Linked DNA regions of Schizosaccharomyces pombe. The protein of the gene in region 1 purifies or fractionates together with the protein of each later gene. This does not show direct contact. Each region holds a gene or a part of one and is shown on either strand. Other genes may lie near its edges.

The links.
Region 2: the proteins of SPOM_SPAC24H6.13 (region 1) and ptr2 purify together in Schizosaccharomyces pombe (co-purification; one study listed by BioGRID). This does not show direct contact.

Annotation. Positions count from the first base shown.
Region 1 is NC_003424.3:453,820-465,213, forward strand, and holds SPOM_SPAC24H6.13 (Ca(2+) transporter), read right to left. Parts: upstream 6,078-11,394; 5' UTR 5,858-6,077; coding exon 3,242-5,857; 3' UTR 3,112-3,241; downstream 1-3,111. Other genes in the region: NEDD8-activating enzyme uba3, read left to right, coding at 8,120-9,454. UniProt on the Schizosaccharomyces pombe protein: Acts as an osmosensitive calcium-permeable cation channel.
Region 2 is NC_003423.3:3,404,951-3,415,928, forward strand, and holds ptr2 (PTR family peptide transporter), read right to left. Parts: upstream 3,410-10,978; 5' UTR 2,743-3,409; coding exon 886-2,742; 3' UTR 625-885; downstream 1-624. Other genes in the region: bbl1 (phosphatidate cytidylyltransferase), read left to right, coding at 1-200; ptk1 (Fbl-like pantothenate kinase), read right to left, coding at 6,426-7,442, 7,515-7,603, 7,657-7,762; protein Nca2, read right to left, coding at 8,388-10,109. UniProt on the Schizosaccharomyces pombe protein: Uptake of small peptides.

The DNA.
Region 1 (11,394 bases):
GAAAGATTTGAAGTAGAGGAGGTACCAGGGATAAAGAGTACAAAGCATCGAGTAAAGTGATAGCTTATCATGTGCTACACGAATGGAAGCGATGCACACTTCAACGGTCAAAGTAACAAGAGCGGAGTTTGGAGATTACGAACAAAGAAAGCGAGTTTTGCGAGATCGGTTGCAGGCACTCCGAATAGTAAAAGGATTGCGGCAATGGCAACTAGTCAACTTGGTAATTTGAAAGAATGAAGAGTAAACAAGGGAATTTCAAGAAGAAGAGGTTCCGAAGGGTATGAAGAAGAAAGAAGAGAATTGCTTTAAAGAAGTAAAAGGGAGTAAAGAAATTTCAGTTTGGTTTTAGCTCGGGATTGGGCTTGAGCTTGGGAAGAAAAACGGATTGCGCTTAAAGAGATTTACGCACATGGAGTACGGATCGAGGGGAAGCGAGGAGAGAGAATGTAAGAATAGGCGAGGCAGGAAAAAGACATGAGAATAAGTAAAAGTTTGGAAGAAGTAGAAACGGAAAGAGGAAAGAAAGAAAGAAAGAAAGAAATTAGAAGATGAAGAAGAAGAAACTGAAAAACATAAAAATAAAATAGACAGATGGGAAAAATATGAAAGAGAGAAATACTTCTTACGGAGACTCAAGCTCATGTCCGAGGGAACAAACATTCCTCATAGTATGCGAAAACTTTCCTTTTCTCTTTTCGTGGAGAAGCAAAATGTTTGCCGACACAAAGGTCACTTGATTTTTCGTGCGCCATTCGTACGAATTCTTTTTTAAATAAAAAATAATTATATTTATTTAAAATAAGAGAAAAAAAAATGAATACCCTGTTGAATTTCTTACACGCCATTTTGTAACCGTTTCATTACATACTATAACGCCTACATATTACAAATGCTCACGTTATACCATGGAAAGCCGACAAACACGGTACAATGTAAATGAACAAGCACAAATGACTCCTGAAATGCAAACAAACCCGTCAGTTAACACCTAGGAATAGTCTCCCATGCAAACGCATTTCGGTTGGCGAACGCTGGTACTTTTTTAATACATTCATTTCACTCCTTTGCAAACACATCATGCCTTGAACCTCCTTACCTATCAGATTTCGCTTTCTTTGTTGATCAACCTCGCAGCATCTCGATATCTTTTTGCGTGGCCACACGCAAGATTTCATTTTTTTTGTCAAAAAGTTTTCCCACATACTGTGTTTGCATGCATAAATCACCTATTCGGATATTATCAATAGTCAAAGTCTCTTAGAAAGGGAAACCGCCCCTCCCCGCGTTACTTTTTTGGAGGCACCTTATTCTAAGCATTATACATGTCCACAATTTCCTAAATAAGCATAGAGCATAAAGTGGTAACCCTTTTCTTCTCAAACAAACGCCCGTCCACATTCTCTCAGTGTCTCTCTGTTGTTGCTGGAAATTGGGTATATGAAAAACAACCATCGCTGCCACTAAACATCGCTATGACAAATGCAGCACAGTTGTAACATGGATAAACAACTAGATATTTCTTATTCCACTCTGGTGATGTCACGACAGGTGCTTTGCGGGGCACGGTTGTTTAGATTGAATCACGGGGGAGGGGTTCCAAGTAAGAAGGACTCCTTTGCAAATGCATTGAGAGAGGATGGGGTATAAGGAAGTTTAGGCACTCTACTCTATCATGAGTAAGTTGCAGCCCCACTTTTTTTTACCAGTTCCAAGTGGGGGATGCGATTCGAGGAAGATGCACCAAGTAGGAGACTGTAGATATAGAAGGGATGGTTCTAAAGTGGGTGAATAAAGTCTACGTGGGGGTGAGAAATCTTTCAAGTTCAGCAAGTTGGTCCCTTGGCAAGGGAGTAGTAGTATATGGATAAATTTCCCCCCACATAGGGTCTCAGAGTAAGTTTGCTCCTCTATTCTTAATAGCTTGTTTATGTCAACAATAGCAAAACAATCAGCCAGAATCAAATAATCAATGAATACAACGTCCATATTGTTCTTATTTAGGAAACAATGTACATAATCAATTTTATTTTTTTTTGAAGGCTATATTTTTTTGTACTATGAACGAAACCATTATTTCTCATAGCAACCTTCGTATCTTATCTCGGGTTTCAAACAAAATCAGTAGCATTGCAAAGGTTCAATGTTTTACGCACAAAGGATTTTTTTTTTCTTTGAGTATCGTTTGTTTATCTAAAATTTTCCCAGGGTAATAGGAAAATTTGTAATACATACAAAGGCAGATCCTTTAATTTTGACTTTTAGTAGCCACTAGCTGTACTTTTAAAAATTTCCTACTGTAAAGACAACCTTTGTCTGATAGTGAATGAAATTGACATTCCAAAAAAAATAAAGCTTTCATCAAATTAATCTTATCATTACGATTACCATCAACTAAAGTATCTACCATTTTGTTCTACTTAAGTTTCGTTCCACATCTGTATAGCACGTGCGTTGATATTTGCTTATTTTGGTTTTTATCGTGTATGCACTTTCCTTTTTTAACATAAATGAAACCTGAAAGCGCATCTCCCGTTATTCTTTAGAAGGTTGCTAATGTCTCCATATTCATTTTCTTATAAGGATCAAATTGCTCATGTAAATATACTCCAAAGTTCAGGAATTTTGCAAGCCTGAATTTAAAATATTAACTAACTAAAATTAAAATTTCTTTTTCCTATAAATTCTATATTTTACTTAACGTGCTGTCTACGGCCATACCTAGGTGAAAACACCAGTTCCCGTCCGATCACTGCAGTTAAGCGTCTGAGGGCCTCGTTAGTACTATGGTTGGAGACAACATGGGAATCCGGGGTGCTGTAGGTTCCTTTTATTTTTTTTCTCATTTTTTAGCTCAGTCATTAACATTGATCATTGCAAAATCCGTAATATTTTTTTCACTTTCCGTTTTTTTTTTTTTTTAAATAATCGAATGCGTCGTTTTACAACCTCTGGTTTGAAGTAGATGCAACAAATTTTAGCGAAACATTTACAACATTCAATGTGATGAGACTTTTTGTTTCGCTGAGAGCAACAACAAATAATACTAAGAATACATTGCAGTACTATGATCAGAATGGATGGTAAATTCCAATAATAATAAATTAGTATGGCTATTAAAGGAAGCATGCAAATTTTAAAACCTAAAATAAAAAAAAAAACCGAAATAAATAATAAAACGATTGGAAACATACTACCACCCCATGTTTCCAAACAACTTCAAATAAAAGTTGGCTAAGCCTTAACTCCTGATCGCCTCATCGTAGTCGGGAGGTGGACCAGTATATTGGAGATTACCCTTCTCATTAAATGTTGTGTTATCGTCGAAAATATCCACCTTTCCACGCGCATCCTCAATTGCATAGGTCGACAATCCAAGAGGATCTTTTGGAATCCAAACTGATGGTGGTGTAGCTTTCAAAGCAGGACTCACATATTGTACATTACGTACACGCACAGGAATATCGTAAAATGAAGGAAGTAATTGTAAAACACGATCGAATCCAGTCAGGATCCTATTAGAAGCAGCAAGGTCAGAAAAATAACTTAAAACGAAACTAGGCATTTTATGTACAGATGAGATATTCGTAATAGCAAAGCCCTCGTCGTCCTTATCTATTTTTTCTTTGGTATTTTCCGAAGTTCTGCTACTTGTTTCTAAGAATTCATCACTTCCAGAAGATGATGACAATTTTTCCAGAATTTCGGGATAAGCACGACCCACGTTCTTCATTTCAGACGTACCCAGGTCCATTGGATATTTAATTTCAGGTCGCTCGGAAACACTTTCGATAGCACTAATTGGAACAGCATCCATCAAAGGTAAAAATTTGTATTTGAAATAAAGATGGCATGCCACCGTAAAACCCAAAAATACGGCTTCGAGTACGGTAGCGCCCCAATTCTTAGCCAAAACAAATAAGCCAATTAAGCAGACTTCTGCTAAGTAAAGACCGACAAATACTTGGAAAAGAGCTCTAGGATAATTTCTGCCCTTTGCGTCAGCGTTATGCCCTAAGACATAAATTAAATTATAGGAATATGCAAAATAAATTAAAACAAATGCTACAGCGGCAAATCCAATTATAATAGGAGCAATGATCGAGTAGCAAATCATGATAGTCACCAACAAAGAATAGACCGGATAAACCGTACCCCAGCTAGGTGCGGAAAGTTGATTCCAGCGATTCCACTTCTTTCGAGGTGTATTATCGAATATGCGCCCTAAAACTTTCGACAAAAGTAATGTTACTATTTGCAATAAAGCTCCTCCAGGAATTGAAAGTCCTTGCAAAAGGAAATATGAAATGTAAAAGTTAGACGCCTTTGGAAGATTACTGGCAAGTAGTGTCATGGAAGATGCTGGTTCTTTAATAACTTGTACAACGGCAGACGTAGCAGCCGATGTCATTGTAGTTACCAAAAAGACTTGAACGACCTGAAATGCGTAATACCAGTTTTGACAATAATTTTCAATCTCTTGAACGGTAAGAGCGCCGCCAAACTTTCCTAAAAACTTGATAAACGGTGGAACAAGCGACATCAAAATGGAGAGAGCAACAGAGGGGAGAATTCCTGTAATGATACCAAGCAATTTTGGAGGCATATGGTCGATAAATTTCAAGAAATGAACCTTTTCAATAAGATAGTTAACGTTGGATATACAACCGACTACTGCAACTGGAAATGCCCAGAAAATAATCATAAGAGTAAGAATAGTATTTGAAATAGTCTTTTTGCCTCTTCTGGTGTACATAGAAAGGTCAAGATTGGACCAAACGATATCTTCTGGAGCAATGCCGACCAAAGCACGACCGAAACGGTATTTTCTAAACTTTTTTGAGTAAAGGAAGGCCTGATAAGCAGTTTGCAAGTCCGTTTGACTACGGAATCTGATAAACACAGAACCAACTTTTTTGCGCTCCTCGAGTGAAGTTTGTAATTTATCGACAACCTCATCCAATTCAGCGATCGTGTCTCTACAGTAGTCAATAGTATCAACCTTTTTTCCAATCAAGAATTTAAGGCGATGAGTTGGACGCTTCTTCACGTAAGCGGTATAATCCAAGGTTGAAGGAAGTGGCTTATGCTTTTTGACAAGCTTATTATGTTTTTTAACAGACTTATTAATAAGGCTGTTAAGAGTACTCTCATACTTGTTTCCAAGGTCACTGCGTTTCTTGACCTTTTTTTCCAGCTTCTTGAGATCACGGACGCATGTAAACTCAGAAGCGTTTGGAAAAAGCTCATGAAGAGTTTCCTCATCGTTTAAAACTGAGTTTGGAAGCTCAGTCAGCAACATCGTAGAGGAAGAAGGAAGATTGTTATAAAGACCTGAAGATTGCATGGCATGTCGAAAAATAACATAATAGCGAAGCTCACGATATATTATGAAAATGGTGAAACCGAAAAACAACCAAGAGAGAAAAACATGGGCATAAAATCGATTATGATTTTTGACGTTTGAGAATGAAAGAATATCAAATCCCTTTTCACCCACACCGTTTGTTGCGTTTACAGGAAGGAGGATGGGGAAAAGAACTAAACAGCCTAGGATACAAAGGGCACCAAATGTGAAGAGATAGCGAATAAAAAAATAACCATCCACACCAGCGTATTGGATAAGATATGTCTCAGAGCGTTTCACAACGTAAGCAAACAAACCAAAAGGGCTAGAGGGGGAAGGCTCTGGTTTCTCTTCTTTTGGTTGAGTATCTATAATACATCTAGGTTGGTAAACGTGTTTCTCGCGAGGACGCAAACATAAAAAAAGACCGATGAAGGCGCAAAAGATAGCAAAATTGAAGACTAACGATGATACGAACGCCGACGTAGAAGAACTGCTGCTGTCGGACATACTGTCAAAAGAGTGTTGCGCTTGACACGATCAGCAGATGGAGAAAGAAAAATGAGAGAATGGTGCGATGTTGAGTTGGGTAGATTTGTGAAAGATACACACAACACCGGAAGTTTTAAAAGAATGATCCAAACCCCCAGTAGAAAACCTTCTTTGTTGTTTAATAAAGCAATTAAAACAATGAAAAGAAAAAATCCTAATGACTTAGAAGGTAGTGGGCGAAAGAAAATTATGCAAGTGATGGTGCATGGACTTTTAATAGTAAATGCTCATCTCCAATTAAAAAGCCTTGAGGTTCTGTTTACATTGGCGATATTGCGCTGGCAAATGCAAAGCCAGAATTAGATATTACCAGCATTTTTCACCTATTCTCCCTTAACACTGTCCAATCTCGTGAATTTGCGTCTCGCAATTTCAGATGTAAACAAATATTGAAACTGCGACGCATACATGTCACTTTGCTATTGTAAAACAGGCAGATCCCACACCCAGGTAAAATAAGAACCGAAGCAAAATTATGATAACGTTAAAAGGATTCATTTAGGAAAGGATAAACATAGTTAGTCACTAGCAAAAGAGAGAAAAACGAAATCATCCTTCTTTCGCACAATAACGAACTCATGCAATTCTTGCTGGTTGTTAAGGACATAGTGAAGTACAAGTGTTAGTGATATAATTCAAATTGAGATAATAATTTCATAAAACACGGACTTTCACTTATGTGACAATCATTCGCTAACTCGGTTTCATGTCACACAAAAAGCCACCATCGACTTAGTCGGGAGTGTAATATTTACACATTGGAACATGTTAAACGACATCGTTAAGCAACAGCGAGTGTCTTTACCGGACTTTTCACCAAAAAAATTTCGCTGCCCTATCTTGTACGCACGCAGAATAAAGCATTTCCAGCCAGTTATTGAACGCGCTAAAGTGTTGTAAAGGTCAATCTCGGATTTCATAAATTTCACCAATAAAGAAAAACCAAATTGCACATCATGTCAACGAAAATGACAGCTGGCTTTACACAGCCTCATATACTTAGTAGGTAATAATGATATGAGAGAGCATGGTGTAAGTAAAAAAAAAAAGGAATTTAGAATTTAATATTCTATGCTTGTAGTATATGTAATCACATACGTATGTGAGCAATCATTTTCTACCTGCAAGTTTTCTAGGTTTAAGGTTTTTTTCTTCGCTTTCTATTCAAATGTGTCATAGTTTCGCACTTACATGTAAACCAACATTTTCGAGCTATATTGTATGCAGCAGAAATGTAAATAGAAATATTTAAACTACACGTTTAAGTGTCAATTATATAAAAAAGAAATGTACAAAATTATTCAAGCAAAAGGTGATTTTTGTTTATTCATGCTATTTTAACCATCGGTTGCTTGGATGAAACATTTTCATTAATACTTGATTTCTTGATGTGACGGACATTCCTCTGTTCTCGTGTGCTTTTGTTCTCGACTATTACTTAACCATACTAGAAAATGATGAGTATTGTCGTTTTACAATATAGACGCAATACTGTAAACAACACCAGTATATAGGTAAACTGAAGATGAGTTGAGAACGAGACTCCTCCAATATAACTTACGTCTCTTTTGCTACGTATTCGTTGCATTTGCTCAAATGCGTTCTTGGAATGTATACGTTTGCGTAAATTAATCAACCCAGTTCGCCCTGAATAATTTCAAAAACTATGCGCAAATAGTTTATTAATAATATCAGATTATCCAACGCATTTGTAGAGCAAGTATTAATCTATGCAAACTCATTTGTGGGATGGAGCTTTTGCGTTGGGGTGTTAGTATATCCATTTTTTCTATCAGCTTTTTATTCTTAGTCAATTTATGCCAATACAAAAGCCAATTTCAAATAAAATGAAAAAAGACGTTTATTCAACTAATTCTGCTTTGGTAACCTAGTATTGTCATTACGAAGTGAAATCAGTTACTCTTCTGTTCTGCGTGTGTCGGTAGGACTGTTACTTACACCTATATCACATTATTACATGTTAAAAAGTATCTTCCAACTTTCATACTCCATTTCATTATCCTCTTATTAAATGAGTAGCCATATTTCCTGACAGCATTGGAGTATTTTCATACACAAATTCCTTTTCTGTTTACATGTAACGAATATTGGGAACAAAGCCAACCTCCAACGCATTTCGTTGACATTAATAGAGAATACAAATTCTTGACTCAGAAATTTTAAGAAATACTTCAAAAAACGATTATTTTTTTGTAGGAGATGCCCTCCTCAGACGTATGTAAAGCTGGTAGTCACAGGCATTCTGGATGGATCCAAAGTCTCAAAAAACCAGGGCCTTTCAACTTGGATGCTCCAGAAAACCCTGAAGAAACTCTTAAGTCTGCCTTTTCTTCTAAAATCTTAATTATTGGTGCTGGTGGTCTAGGATGCGAGATTTTAAAGGATTTAGCATTATCTGGATTTCGAGATTTAAGCGTAATCGACATGGATACTATTGACATTACAAATTTGAATCGACAATTTCTATTTAATGAAAGCAACATTGATGAGCCGAAAGCCAACGTTGCCGCATCAATGATTATGAAACGAATCCCTTCTACGGTAGTAACACCTTTTTATGGGAAAATTCAAGACAAAACAATTGAATTCTATAAGGAGTTTAAACTTATTATATGTGGCCTTGATTCAGTAGAAGCTCGACGGTGGATCAATTCAACTCTCGTGGCCATTGCTAAGACAGGAGATCTTATACCGTTGGTCGATGGCGGCTCAGAGGGCCTTAAGGGTCAAGCCCGAGTAATCATTCCAACGATAACAAGTTGCTATGAATGTTCATTAGACATGCTTACGCCTAAGATTTCGTATCCCATATGTACATTGGCGAATACTCCTCGATTGCCGGAGCATTGCGTCGAATGGGCATATTTACTCGAATGGCCTCGAGTTTTTCTTAATGCTTCAGTTGATAGTTTTTCTAAGCAAGAAGTTTTTGAACCGCTGGATGGAAAAAATTCCAATTTTGAACCAGATAATATCCGACATATTGACTGGCTCGTAAAACGTTCTATCGAACGTGCCAATAAATTTCAAATACCCTCTTCCTCAATCAATCGTTTTTTCGTGCAAGGAATCGTAAAGCGTATCATACCAGCGGTTGCGTCGACAAATGCCATAATTGCCGCGAGCTGTTGTAACGAAGCATTAAAAATTTTGACGGAAAGCAATCCGTTTTTGGATAATTACATGATGTATGTCGGTGAAGATGGAGCGTATACATATACATTTAATTTGGAAAAGAGATCAGATTGTCCTGTTTGCGGCGTATTGTCTGAAGTCTATGATATTTCAGCCTCATCTACCGTTACTTTAAAGGATATTTTAAATCATTATTCTAAATCTTATAATCTACAAAATCCTTCGGTTTCAACAGCTGCAGGAACCCCTCTGTACTTGGCTTCACCTCCAGCTCTTCAAGTTGCGACATCTAAAAATTTATCTCAACCTATATTAAGTATTACGTCGGTTGATGTGAACCTTGTAATTACTGATAAAAATCTTTCTACAAGTTTGTCTGTTCAGTTGAGAGAATGCTAGATTTGATGTTTATCAATCGCTAATAGACTGTGGATATTTTTGTGTAGAATAGCAGTTTCGCTGCATTTCAATATACTTATAAATTGAAAAGAGATATCACTAAAGAGATAGAGAATCTGCTTCACGCTCCTTACTATAATTCCTTGCTTATTTATAGTTATGTCATTTCAACTTTGTTTCAATGTCTTCAGTTTAACGACATCTCAAAAAAAATATATAAGTTGAAAAGATCTTATTTAATTTTAAAAAAAGAAACAATTAAACCAAATCAAAGTTATTCAACTCTAAATTACAAATCTACAACAGACAACAAACACGAAACGTATGCATACAGTTAGGTATTTAGCATATATAAGCATGCAATGTGCAAAGTATATTGCAAAATAGAAAGTAAATCAAATGCTTTAAGTTAATTTTATTTGCCTTTTTTTATGCTATTAATTTTATTGCTACGAGCATTGTCATTGAGTGATAAAAACATGCACTGCCCTTTGTTTAGGCATTTGCGACATTACTTTTCCATAAACAATTATTTTGATTCATGTTGCAAAAACATGACTTTTAACGACCGAATTTTCAAAAATTTTCATCGGAATAAAACAAGCGATATCATTTAGCAATAACATCAACAGAATTAGTATTTGCTCAGCAGCTATTAAATCCGCCTAAATAAAACAAGTTATTACATTTTCAAATAAATAGAAATTAAAAATCGTTCGAAACAAAGCAATAAGTCTTTTTCCCAAAAAAAAAAAAAATCGATAAATAAATTAAAATTTTCATTTTTGTAATTATTTTATTCGTTTACGTAGGTATACAGTAGAAAAACATGATTTTGCTCTCAACGGATATTTGACCGTGGACATACATTATTGACGCTTTTCTTACTACTAAGAGCCGGTTGACATCGACTTTCCATGAATGGAATCCCAATCTCGGAGACGAGAAAAACCGCATGGTTTATTATCAACTTTTCGCATTTATGACACTAAAATTGTTGCTTATGATAACGTAGAGAGGGATTTGTTGCTGCTGATACTCACTGGGGATTTACCGCTATCAATAGAATGGCTCACTAGAAAAACAATTATTTCACTGATCCGCCTGCAATTATAGACATTACTTTATTGATAGGAGTATTAGGAGAAAAAAAAAATATCAGTCCGGAACAGCTTGTATTTGGTTGAATCTGTTAAATAAATAAATATATATATATATATATTACTGCAGATACCGAAGCATGTAAGAAGCGAGCTTTTTTTGTCACAACACACCCGCCATCTGCACGCCTTTCTTAAACATTCACCATTCTCTGCTTGAATTGAGGAGATCAGGGTGCTTTTCTTCATTGCATTAATTGAACGATAGTGCCAATTTACCAAAGTATCAATTAATTCGGGCAAATCATTGACCCCTGGGAATTATCTCTGGAAAGCTTTAACGGTTGCTTGAGATTGGTGATCCTCTTGTATTTATTGTAAAATCTCAACTTTTGGTGTGATTTTACCGTTACTTTCTACCTCATAATTGCATTTGTTTGACATTTATAAGGTATCTTTAGCAAAGTATTTGCGAGTATTGGAAGTACTGTTATCGTCTTACATTCTAGGCTGTATTGGAAGTTGCAAGTGAAAAAGTGTCTTTAAGACGTACATTTTTTGTATATTCTTGATTCATCCTTCATTCCTTACCAACGTTGTCCTTTTGAGGTTTAAGATCTTTCAGCTTGCTTTTGTACTTGGTTTTAATACATTTCCATAGCTATTTAAATACAGAAAAGTTTACAGTTTCATTTCATCGCTTAACTGGGCCCTTTTATTCTCACTGTGTTTTCCCTCTAATGCTTTTAATTTAATTGATTGTTAAACAAACTTTTCTACCTTCAAAGTCTTGTCTGTTTTTTATTTTTATTTTTTTTAAAAAAAATCGCCTACCCCATA
Region 2 (10,978 bases), on another chromosome or scaffold:
GAGTCTTCGTTTATATGTATTTCCAATCATTTATTGCAGAAAAGAGTACATCTGTTGCTGATTTATTGGATACAGCAGTTTATAGCCTCACGACCACTCAGCAAGTGCAACTTGTTGAAGATTTACAAAACTATCTCATCAGTCATGGCAAAACTAGTGTTCAAGCTATTTGTTCCAAACTTCTTCAAAACTCAAAATAGCTTACACTTTGTTATCCTCGTATTTGTTTACTAGCCAGTCTTTTATATTATTAAATGCGTTGTCATGTATAGTTTGACTTCCGTTTGTTAGTCATTCGTTATTGCTTGGAAGTTTTGATATCCCATGTCTAATTTTTAGTCAACTCCAAACTAGATCTAGTCGTTCGTTTGCTTTATATAATTTTCAGTTTTTCACCTTAAAAATTTTGTTTGACATTTTCCGAATTAGTTTTCATCAAAAACTTTTGTCATCAGGTTGGTTAAGTGAGCTAGCTTAATTCGCAAACGCTTAGAAAAGTTGATTATTGGACTAATCTCACGTCGGTTCTACTAAAAAACAGTTTCTTGTCTCAACACATACAGTTTTGTTTACCGCTAAAGAATTTCTTATTTTCAACATATTTGATACTTTCTTTAATATTTTAAATTATGCACAGCAATATATATTTTCATTAAATCACACTGTAGTAAATTCTGGTATATAGACCCACTGTAAAACTCTATTTTCTGAGAGTGGATAAGTACTACTGCATTTAAATAAGGAGCATCAGTAGAACAACGGCATCATAACAAAAAAAAAGATGGAAACAAAACATGCAAACCCCAATTTTTTGGGAAATTTTGTAAAAAAAAAAAGAAAAGAAAAATTGGCATCCCGCAAATACGAATTAAGTTAAATTAAGTATTATGTGCTTTTCATGATTTCCTCTTCAGCAGTTGCTTTTTCCAAATTGTATTGGGACTCATCTGCCATGCTATAACTATCATGAACTTCCTTTTCAACGTCCTTCTTCGTTAACGCATCATTACGCTTGAACTCAAGTTGATTTTGTTCATCTTCCATAGCATCATAGTGGTGGAAGCAAACCCAAAACATAATACCAGCAATAAAGGCAGTGACGGCAATACCAGTGTACATCCAAGTAAGCTTAGGATTGACAGCAGTAGAAGAAATGCAAATAGATAGAATGGCACCGAATGCATTGGTGAACAAGAACAAAGCAGTAATAATGGATTTCATTGAAGGAGGGGCCTTGGTAAATGCAAATTCTAAACCAGTAATACTGGCAAAAATTTCAGAGAAAGCAATCAAAACGTAAGCAGGGATTTGGATCCAAACACTGATGTCATTGGAAACACATGTATCAGTAAAATTTGCATAGCAAGGGCCTCTTTGATAAATCTTTGCTTGTAAAACAGCAGCGTAAATCATGGAAGCAGTAGCAAACATAAACCCTAAAGTAATACGAAGGATGGGTTTGAAAGGGATGTTATACTTACGCAATAATGGATAGATGATATTGTCACAAATGGGAATGAAAATAATCAAGGCGATTGAATCGAAGGCTTGGAAAAGATCGTTAGAGACATTACCCGTTTGCATTTGTCCAGCTTGAGAAATTAAGTTGTTGGTCATTTGACCATAGCATACCCAATAGATAGGGTAAAAGAGAAAAGTTTTGCAGGCGCGTAAGGCACGTTTCAATTCGTCGATAAACAAGTCATCCCACTGATCCTTGAGCGTAACGCGTCCAACAGTAGTAGTGCAAGATGGTTTAGTTTTTTCGAGATTAAATTTGTTTTGAGCAGCAAGGAAGAACACTTGACCAACACGAACAAAGATGGAACCGGAGGGAGGAGTGTGCTTGTAAAAGCGCTTACTAACAGCCAAAATAATTAAGGGGATAACAAAGACGCACAAGGGAAGCAAGTATGCGTAAACAAAACCTTTAGTACTTTCCAAACTAGTGGTGGCTAATACGGAGAGAGAACCGACGTTAATTGACCAGTAGAAAATCATATAGGCACGAGAGGTGGTGACGACGGGGTCAACAATGACCTTGCTACCATTTTTCTTGGTCTTTACATAAGGAGGAATTTTTGGAAGCTGTTCAGCCATCAAGGGGGAAACATTGGATTTGATACCACCGGTTCCAAGACCAATGATGATCAAAGAGACGACAAACCCACCCATACTTTTTCCGGCATCAATGACAGAAGGAATAGCAGTACATGTAAGAATCAAGATACCAATAAAGTAAATGACAGCAGAGCAAACAATGGTATTGTACCTACCAAGGAATTGATCAGCAATAAGTGCAGCGCCAACCGGGGTGACATAACACCAAAATGTGAAGAAATTAGAAAGACCGTCAGCACCGCTTTCGCCTAAATTAAGGGCACCTGGAGTAGCATCCTTAGGACCGAATTGCATATAATTTTGAAAGGGAACAGTGAGACCATAGTAAGCGAAACGTTCGCAAAGCTCGACAATAATGATAATAAAGGCTTTCCAAGGAATAGTACCGCAAACACGAGGAAGGGTGGCTAATTCTTCTTCGGTAGGAGAAGGGTATAAGTCACCATTGACGAGGACGCCGGTGGACATGGATTTTTGGAGTTCATCGGTGGAGGATTGTTCGTCAGCGGTGTTGATGGTGGCAGAACCATCAGCCTTTTTCTCCTTGCTTAAGTAGGATTGATCTTCTGAAATGATGAAATCGGAGTCCGATTTCGTAATTTGTTCTTCAATGCTACTCATTGTAAACACAGGTAAATTGAATGTAGGAAATCGATCGTATGAAAATCAAAAATAATAATAAAAAAGAGAATGAACAGAAGTTTCAAGAACAATTTTTGGGTATAAAATAATTACAATGAAACGAGAAAACAAAAGAGGCGAATATTAAAAAAAAAAAAAGAGGAAGAGAAAAATAACGTAAACAAGCGAAAGATTAAAAAACAATTGTAGTACAAAAGATAAAAAAAAGAATAGATCAAAAATAATAATAATAATAATTAGTCAAACTAATTACACAAAATTGACAAGTGAATTCACAAAAAAGTTAAAATAAACACTTTTATATGTGTATCGAAGGCCGACTAACTCAACTAAGAGTAAGAAATATGAAAGTGAGTGAGAGTGAGAAAGGGTATTTAAAACAAGATTAAATATACACAACAACAAATAAGTATTTATGACAATAATAATAAAAAAAGAAAAATTTTTAGAATGAAAAAATTTTTCCTTAATGTATTAAATAAATACTTGGAAATTAAAAGTGTATGTATGTGAAAGTGTGGAGAAAGTCACAACTCCAAACAAAAGAGGTCAAACGATTAATTATACGAACGATGAGGAGTTTCCACTCAAGGTTTTTGAATTTCTCTTACTTCTAAAACACAGACTAGACGGCACGACGAAGGATGTCTTTTGAGGGGATAATTTTCAAGTATAAATACTGCTGAAAATGAAATTTGTCCACACTGATTTAGCAGTCACCACGTGTTCATGCACGCCTTTATCAATGACGGTGAGCAAAGCACGATAGGCGATAGACAAATCGTAAATGTAGGAAACGTGGTATGAAAAAGTTTATTATCTTCCCTACAGATAAATCAAAAAAGAGGGAGGACCGGTCTAGACTGCACATTTTTAATAATTAAGGTCAATGCGTGAAAGGTGGGTTTGATGGTTGATTGGATAAATCAAATGTTATTTCGGACAAAAACGTTAGTGCGGAATATCTATTTGATTAAAAATGCACGAGGAGTAACCATATCGCACAACGTGTGACCTGTTGGAAAAAGGGGTGAAAATTGGTAAATCCGCTGGAAATAGATAAGCTTGGATTTCTTCGTGTGATGCCGTTTTTTTCATCTACTCCACTATCATGCGGAAGGATTGCGCACTTGTTCAGTTGCGTGTTTTTGCTTAACGATAGAAAAAACTCGTGTACCTCCATTTAGGACTTTTGTGCCACCACATCGCATGGTTGAAGTGGAAAGTCGTACTTGACCGAAAAAGTGGGGATGAAATTGGGTACCAAGTGGGGTGCATGGAATTAAATGGTCAAGAGCACAACGTGCAGAGCATATGGAAAAAACGAGTAGCACGTTATAGTGCCAAAAATAGAAGTTTCACTACAGGAGTGAGAATGAGAGTGAGGAGAGGTATAGAAAGAATGTGAGACAATATAGTTAGTATATGTGAAAGTGAGAGTAAAAGGTATAAGTGTTACTATATGAGTATGGATGAGGATGAGGGAAAAGGTAGAAAAGAGATGACTGTCTATGTATTGTCATACATATTGTTATTTACAAACACATCCTCTACGTTTCTTATTCTCTCACGACGACATACAGGTGAACGAAGTTTTTCAATAATTTTAGAGGTTTGAGGGTTGAGTTGTATTCATTGCTTACTTGTAGTTTGCTCATTAATAATAATTACATATTTGTTAGATTCTTAATACTTTGCATATTTATTAAATTTATGTAATCGTTTGATGAGTGTTACATTGTTGTTTTTATTTATTTATTTAACCGTTGAATTCATTCCTTCTTCTCGACATCGGCCTTTACACCACGTTCGCGTGTCTCTTCTCTCTTGTTTCCTTCCCCGGGTATTCCGCGATTAGCGCTGGCGATTCACCAAGGTAAAACTATGTATGCGAATGGTGAGTGGTCTGCTGTAGCACGGTGTGTGCACGAGGAAACAAGGTCTTCTCTTTAAGAACCTCGAACCCGGTAAACATCGTGGGTGGCAGAGATAGTAAAAGCGACTAGTTCGCCTACCCCCACATGAATTGTCGCAAAGATGATGAGGGACGACAACAAGTAGGTAAGGTAAAGTAAAGTAAGAAAGGAAGAATAGTGATAGCATTAATAGTAGTGGGTATAACTGTCACGGAAATGAACATATCACACTCCAAAACGGACTTGTTGGTGTATGAGCAATTTTTCGCACCCATTTTCCCTCATTTTGCCAAATGAAACCATAATGCTGCAAGATTGCTGAAAGTATCGGGAAAGCCTAGTAAGAAATGGTCCAACTCGTTATGCAGCGATACCCTACCCTCCGTCAAGCAAACGAGATGGTTGTGTAAGGCGAGGCACAAGACTTCAAAAAGTATGCAAATTAGCAACAGATAGTATACCCTAAATTCCAAACGATATCTTCTATCACAGAATCAGATTTCTTATAGTAAGTTCATGATAACTTTGAAGAAACTTGAGTTTGATAGCATTAGTAAATAAATCCCCAATAACGAAGGAGTATGCAATGTCACATCGATATCTATGCTTCTAGCATTGCTGATTCTGACTTGACTTTTCTATCTCGTCGTCGGTGCACAAGTTGATACTACTTTGGCAGATGTTTCTCCTTTGAATTTATGAACTTTTAAACAAATTGCTTTTTGTTTCTATGCCCATTCCTTATCAATTGAAAAGGAGAGAGGAGAGAAAAGGAAAAAAAAAATTTGACCTCTTTTTGGTTTTTTGGTTTTTTTTTTTTTTTTTCGCTCTCTAAAACTTATCTACCACACCTCTTCGTCATGTAATTTGAACTATACTTTTCACGTTAAAAACCTTTTCCCCCTTTGATTCCGTCGAAAGTTTCACGGAACCAATGTTTCCAGTGTTTTCATAGAGTTAACAATGCATGTTTACCTACTAGTTGGAAAAAATTCGCAACACTTGTTACTAAGTGCTATAAACTGAACATTGCATTTTTCTATATTTTTTGCATGTTAATTATTTATTTCATTGAGCCGTCCATAATGCTTGTTTTCTTTGCGCCTACTTAACATCAAGTCGTTCTCGTCTTATCAATTGATCCTTCTGCTAATAGATTTTTTAAAGTAACAAACGTCTATAGAGACGCGCATTATGAAGTCCAACAAGTATCGCTAGTTTAATGATAAGTAAGGAAGGGTTTCATTTACGAATTGTCTTCTTTCAAACATAGGTTACTGTTTCCTTCTTTGATATTCGGGTACCTGCATATCACCCATATGTATTTCCTATTTCCGTTGATAAAATGTCATATCACTTAATTTTCTCTTCTCGTCATTTTTTATTCCGACCCTTGTTTTTATCGAACATTCGTTAAATCTATAGATAAACTCCAACGACCGCGTATTGTGTTGGGCAAATTTGCTTAACCCCTTGCTCTGTCTCTTCCGACTTCTTCTTTCCTTCTCTATCCATCCTATCTTACTATCATATCATTGAAATGTCTCGTGTCCGTGTAGGCGAGAATGACGGACGGACATCCTCAGATCAGATATAGAGTCCATCTCTTACGGAATACTTTAATAATGTAATAACGTGTAACTTAATGGTTGTTTACTAGTTATAGCGTGACCTGTCGTACCTTTTTTATTTATCAAAAGTTATTTTGTTTGTTCTAGTCATTATGTGCTGCTATTCATTGAAGCTCTACGATATTGAGGGAACAGGAACGTTGCTGGGCTGAGAGGTCGCATACTTCATGAACGCTCCAAACACCCCCAAGTAGCCTTCATGTCTTAAAAAATATGCATTCATGGTATGGTTGCTCCAATACTGAATGGCATATGTCAACGTGTGCATAGTTTGAACGTGGTTGCGGATGAAGCTGCCGCCAAAGTAGATGTTTTGAACATTGTGCTTTTGCGCGTGCAAATAAGCAATTTGCCCAATGTTGTTGCTAATGGCCAGTAGTAAAGACCTGGAAATATCCTGAGGCGCAAACTCTTCCAACGGTTTTCTTTCACGAAACACTTTTCCAAATGAACTAGCAATAGTGGTGCTTTTTAGTCCAAATCGTTCGTAGCCGATATCCTTTCCATAAATATCTCCTACAAGCATATCCACACTTGTGTTATCTCCTCCCTTGGACAACTCTAACATCTCGTCAAACGAGTTTGCTGGTGTCAACAACGACAACAATCCCCAAAGCGTTCCCCCTCCTAAAGACGAACCACCAATTCGTTCAAACTGTGATGGACCAGTAACCTTAAGAATGCTGACACCCGACCCAATGTTGACAAGCATGTGCGGGTAATGATAGCAATTCAGATGGTTTTGAAATGTTAATTCGCACGTATCCAAGTCCAACACAAAAACTTCTCTTGGTATACACGAAACAAAATAGTTAAGGCCCATAATCAAACATTCCATCTCATCTTCTCTAATAACCTTGATGTCCAATTGTTTAGACATCCTATCGTAGAATTTATATGCCCCACCGCCAGTAGCTATCAATGTAATCTTTTTTTTGTTACAATTCTTAACGTGATTGTCAATTAAGTTCGCCATAAATTGAATACAATCTTCAATCTTTGCTGTTTCAAAAATCATAAACGAAAGCCTACCACCCGTATAGTTTTCGGCTTCAGATATACTTGAAGAAGAAGAACTAGGTGAACTGCTTTCACAAACATAGTACATTACTTTAGCTAACGAACCTCCAATCTAGAAAAGTGTCAGCAATGTCAACGCTTGCAAGTATTGGAAAAACTCTCCTCCGTCCAACTGTTACCGTACATCAACTGCAATATGAGTTACATGTGATTTGTTGTTAGGTAAGGCAATGTCTTTATCGAATTGTCCTTCATTCTCTATGATCCGTGCACCTAATAATTATTAATAAGCGATTTAAATGAATGATTTCTAAACTTCTGCTTACCTGTCAGATTTAACCATACCGAAGGAGGTTGAGATAACTGCCGCTCAACATTTGATATTGTTTCTCTGCTAATTGTACTGAACCTTCCGCATTCTGTTTCACTCATAGTACTTAAAATATAATTGATTAAAGTTGCTTGGTCTTAAACCAATCTTTGATAACCCAAAACACGTATTAAGCCAAATGAACGCAGTTAATCACAGTACTCCCTTTTACTTTCTATCAAAACAACAACAATCTAATAAATGAATAAACCCAGGTTTCCTTTTGGTATTCTAAATGGAAAAATGAGTATATAGAGAAATAGTATAGTCGGGTGATATCACGTGTGGGTACGTTGGGAGCTTGGAGCCATAACTTAGCACTTCATAATGTGCGCGATCTAAGCCTATCTTTAGGTGATTAACAGTAGCAAAAGACAATGCCTTGCTCATAATACTAGCATTACTAATCATACTGTTATAAATTTTCGTTTACAAGAATGTTATTCCTGATTATATAACAACAAATCATCAGATTAGCAATTCAACAAGATTCTGCTTCATCATTTGTAAACTCAAATAAGCAATACCATAAAGTAAATTAGGAAATCTGACTGGTGGAAATGATGCATTTATGGAAAAACTGAAAAAGTAAATATCAAATCTTTTTCCACTAAACATCAAACGTTTTTTAACCGAAATTTTGTTATTATTCATGAAAATCATGTATGAAACATTAAATAAAAGTGCTTAAATACTGTTTTTAAATAGACGGTAAATCCGATCAACTGCCCGTAGTTGTGCTTGAACACCATATGAGCTTGACTGTATGTCTTCGAGATCCTGAAGTAGGTCTTCAGCAACATCCTTAGATAGACCCATATCCATGGACATTATGGCCATCAAGTTAACCTGGAAAACCAAGAGTCCATAACTCATATCATCTAAAGAATTCATTTTCTGTGACCGAACCAAAATACGTTCGGCAGCACGAAGTGATTGTCTAAATCGTTGGCGGCGTTCTGCCCTTGAAAGAGTATCGTTGTTGAAAATGTTGGCCTTTACATACCTGATAATAACATAGCAGAATATAAGACTAGGGGTTATTCCAACTGTTGCAAAGACGAGCTCTTGACTTTTTAATAGTCGATCAATACCACTTAATGCTACCTCGACGTCAACTTTTGTTTTTTGCAATTGAATAAGCAGTGTCCGAACTAGATTCCCCGAAACGGCAGTTCTAATCGGGGTTTTTAAGTCATGTTCATATGCTTGCAAAACGTACGTAAGATCTCCTTGCTGTACTTCTTGTTTCACCAAATCCAAGTTTATACCAGCAGGAGAAGTATCGGATACAAAATCAATCACCATTCTCTGTAAACTTTCCATATCACTTTCTAAACTTTTGGTTTGCAACAAAGTAATTTGCGAGTCAGCCCTGTTAGAGCGGATGGTGTCAAATATTCCTAAAATCGGTTTTTGAATCCAATTAGTGTAGAAATCTACAGCCGTTGAATAAAGATAATCTATCCATAGACGTATGCTGGTTCTGTTTTTTGTAATTATTTGGGTTGACAGCCAAGCGGAAAGTAAAGTAACGAAAATTTTAGGCCAATTTCGTTCTATTGCACTTGGACGAAAATAGGCTTTAGCCTCAAAATATTCATCTGTTGGATGGCTCAGATTATCCAATGTTATTGAAAGAATGTCTGGCAAAGACTCTGAATTGTCAATCTTCTGCCCTTGCAGTTGTGAGAGTCTTTGGATCCATTGGGAAACAACTTGTTTTAAATCAGCTTTTGCTGAAATGCCATTTTTATCACCACTTGATGAAGCAGCATCACTAACTCCTTCACTCATAATTGCACGAGTTAAACATCCAATTTTGCAAGCATGCTCGTCCCTAAGTTGACGAAGTCGCTTTGCATTGCCACGATATTCATGTCGTATGAGAGAAAGTAAACTAGCCTGTGAAATGAAAGCATCACGGGGAAAAAGAAGGACATCCGACTTAGAAACTTTAGGGAACAAATTTTTTTTAGCAAAAATATTAGAGAAATTTTGAAATTGTAGAATTGATTTGATGGAATTTCGACAAATGTGATATAGTCTAGTAGGAAAAGATTGAATTAGGAATAAAACCCTTGAATACCAATTTTTATCGATGCTTTCCCAATAATGAAGGTTATCAGACATAATCATCGCTTCTTCTAACAATTGATCTAGCATTTTTACGTGTAAATGAGCTGAACACCTCCCCAATATTACCCAATACAGATAATCTTTTGGTCCCTTATCTAGCTCCTTCACTTGAGTAATAACATTTTCTAGTTGATAATTTGTCAAGTTTGTTGAATCCAATTGTTGAAATACATGAAATGTTACTGAATTGGAAGTGGTCTCTCCATGCACCGCAGCAAGCTTATTAAAATTTGCATATACATCCTTCAAATGTTTTTGATAAAGTTCCATATTGCCAAACTGTTGTTATTCACCCGTTTTGTTGCAGTCTCAAAAGCAAAAATAAGATATTAGATATAATGACTTCTCTAGATATGCAAACACGCATTCACTATAGTTGAAGAATTATTTGGGCATTTAAAACAAAAAAAAATAGTCAGTTAAAATATATGATATTTGAAATGGGTGTAGTTCTCGGAAAACGTCAAGCACTTTGTATGACCACATTTTTCGTAGGAAACATCATTGGTCTCATTAACCATGCCAACAAATGACTTTACTTTGCTGGTGAAATTAGAAGGAGTGATCTAATTCGCTAAATAAATTTATTAATTATCTGGTGAATAATACTATGCAGGCTTATGAACACATACGTTAGGTATCATTATATGTAGCTTCTTTTGTGTATCAATTAGTATACACTATTGACAGGTTTTTTTCCTATCTAATATGACTCTCGTTAATACAATAAGAGCATATCTCAATTGAATGGCTGTTCCTCATTATATTGGCGAGCTATTTCAATGTTATGTTATTAAATCACCTCCATATTAGAATATTCCTGATATCTGTACGAGTAGTACACTATTATACGGATATCTCTTCTTTAAAGAATTTTAAATATATACAAAACCCCTGCTGAATTAGCTAATAACCGTACTGAAACTTGGTCCAGTTTTAATATAACTGTAGTGCTCGAGGGAAATGTGTCCGTCTTTCGTTGTGATTTCATTTGGAATCGTGAGCATCGATCCTTTATTTATCTTAAAGATGAGATAACGCACCGTCGCATAGCATAGTGAGATTTAAACATATTACCAAAGCTGTGATAACGATAGCAAAAATACATTAACGTTGATTTGCAGATTAATTTAACATAT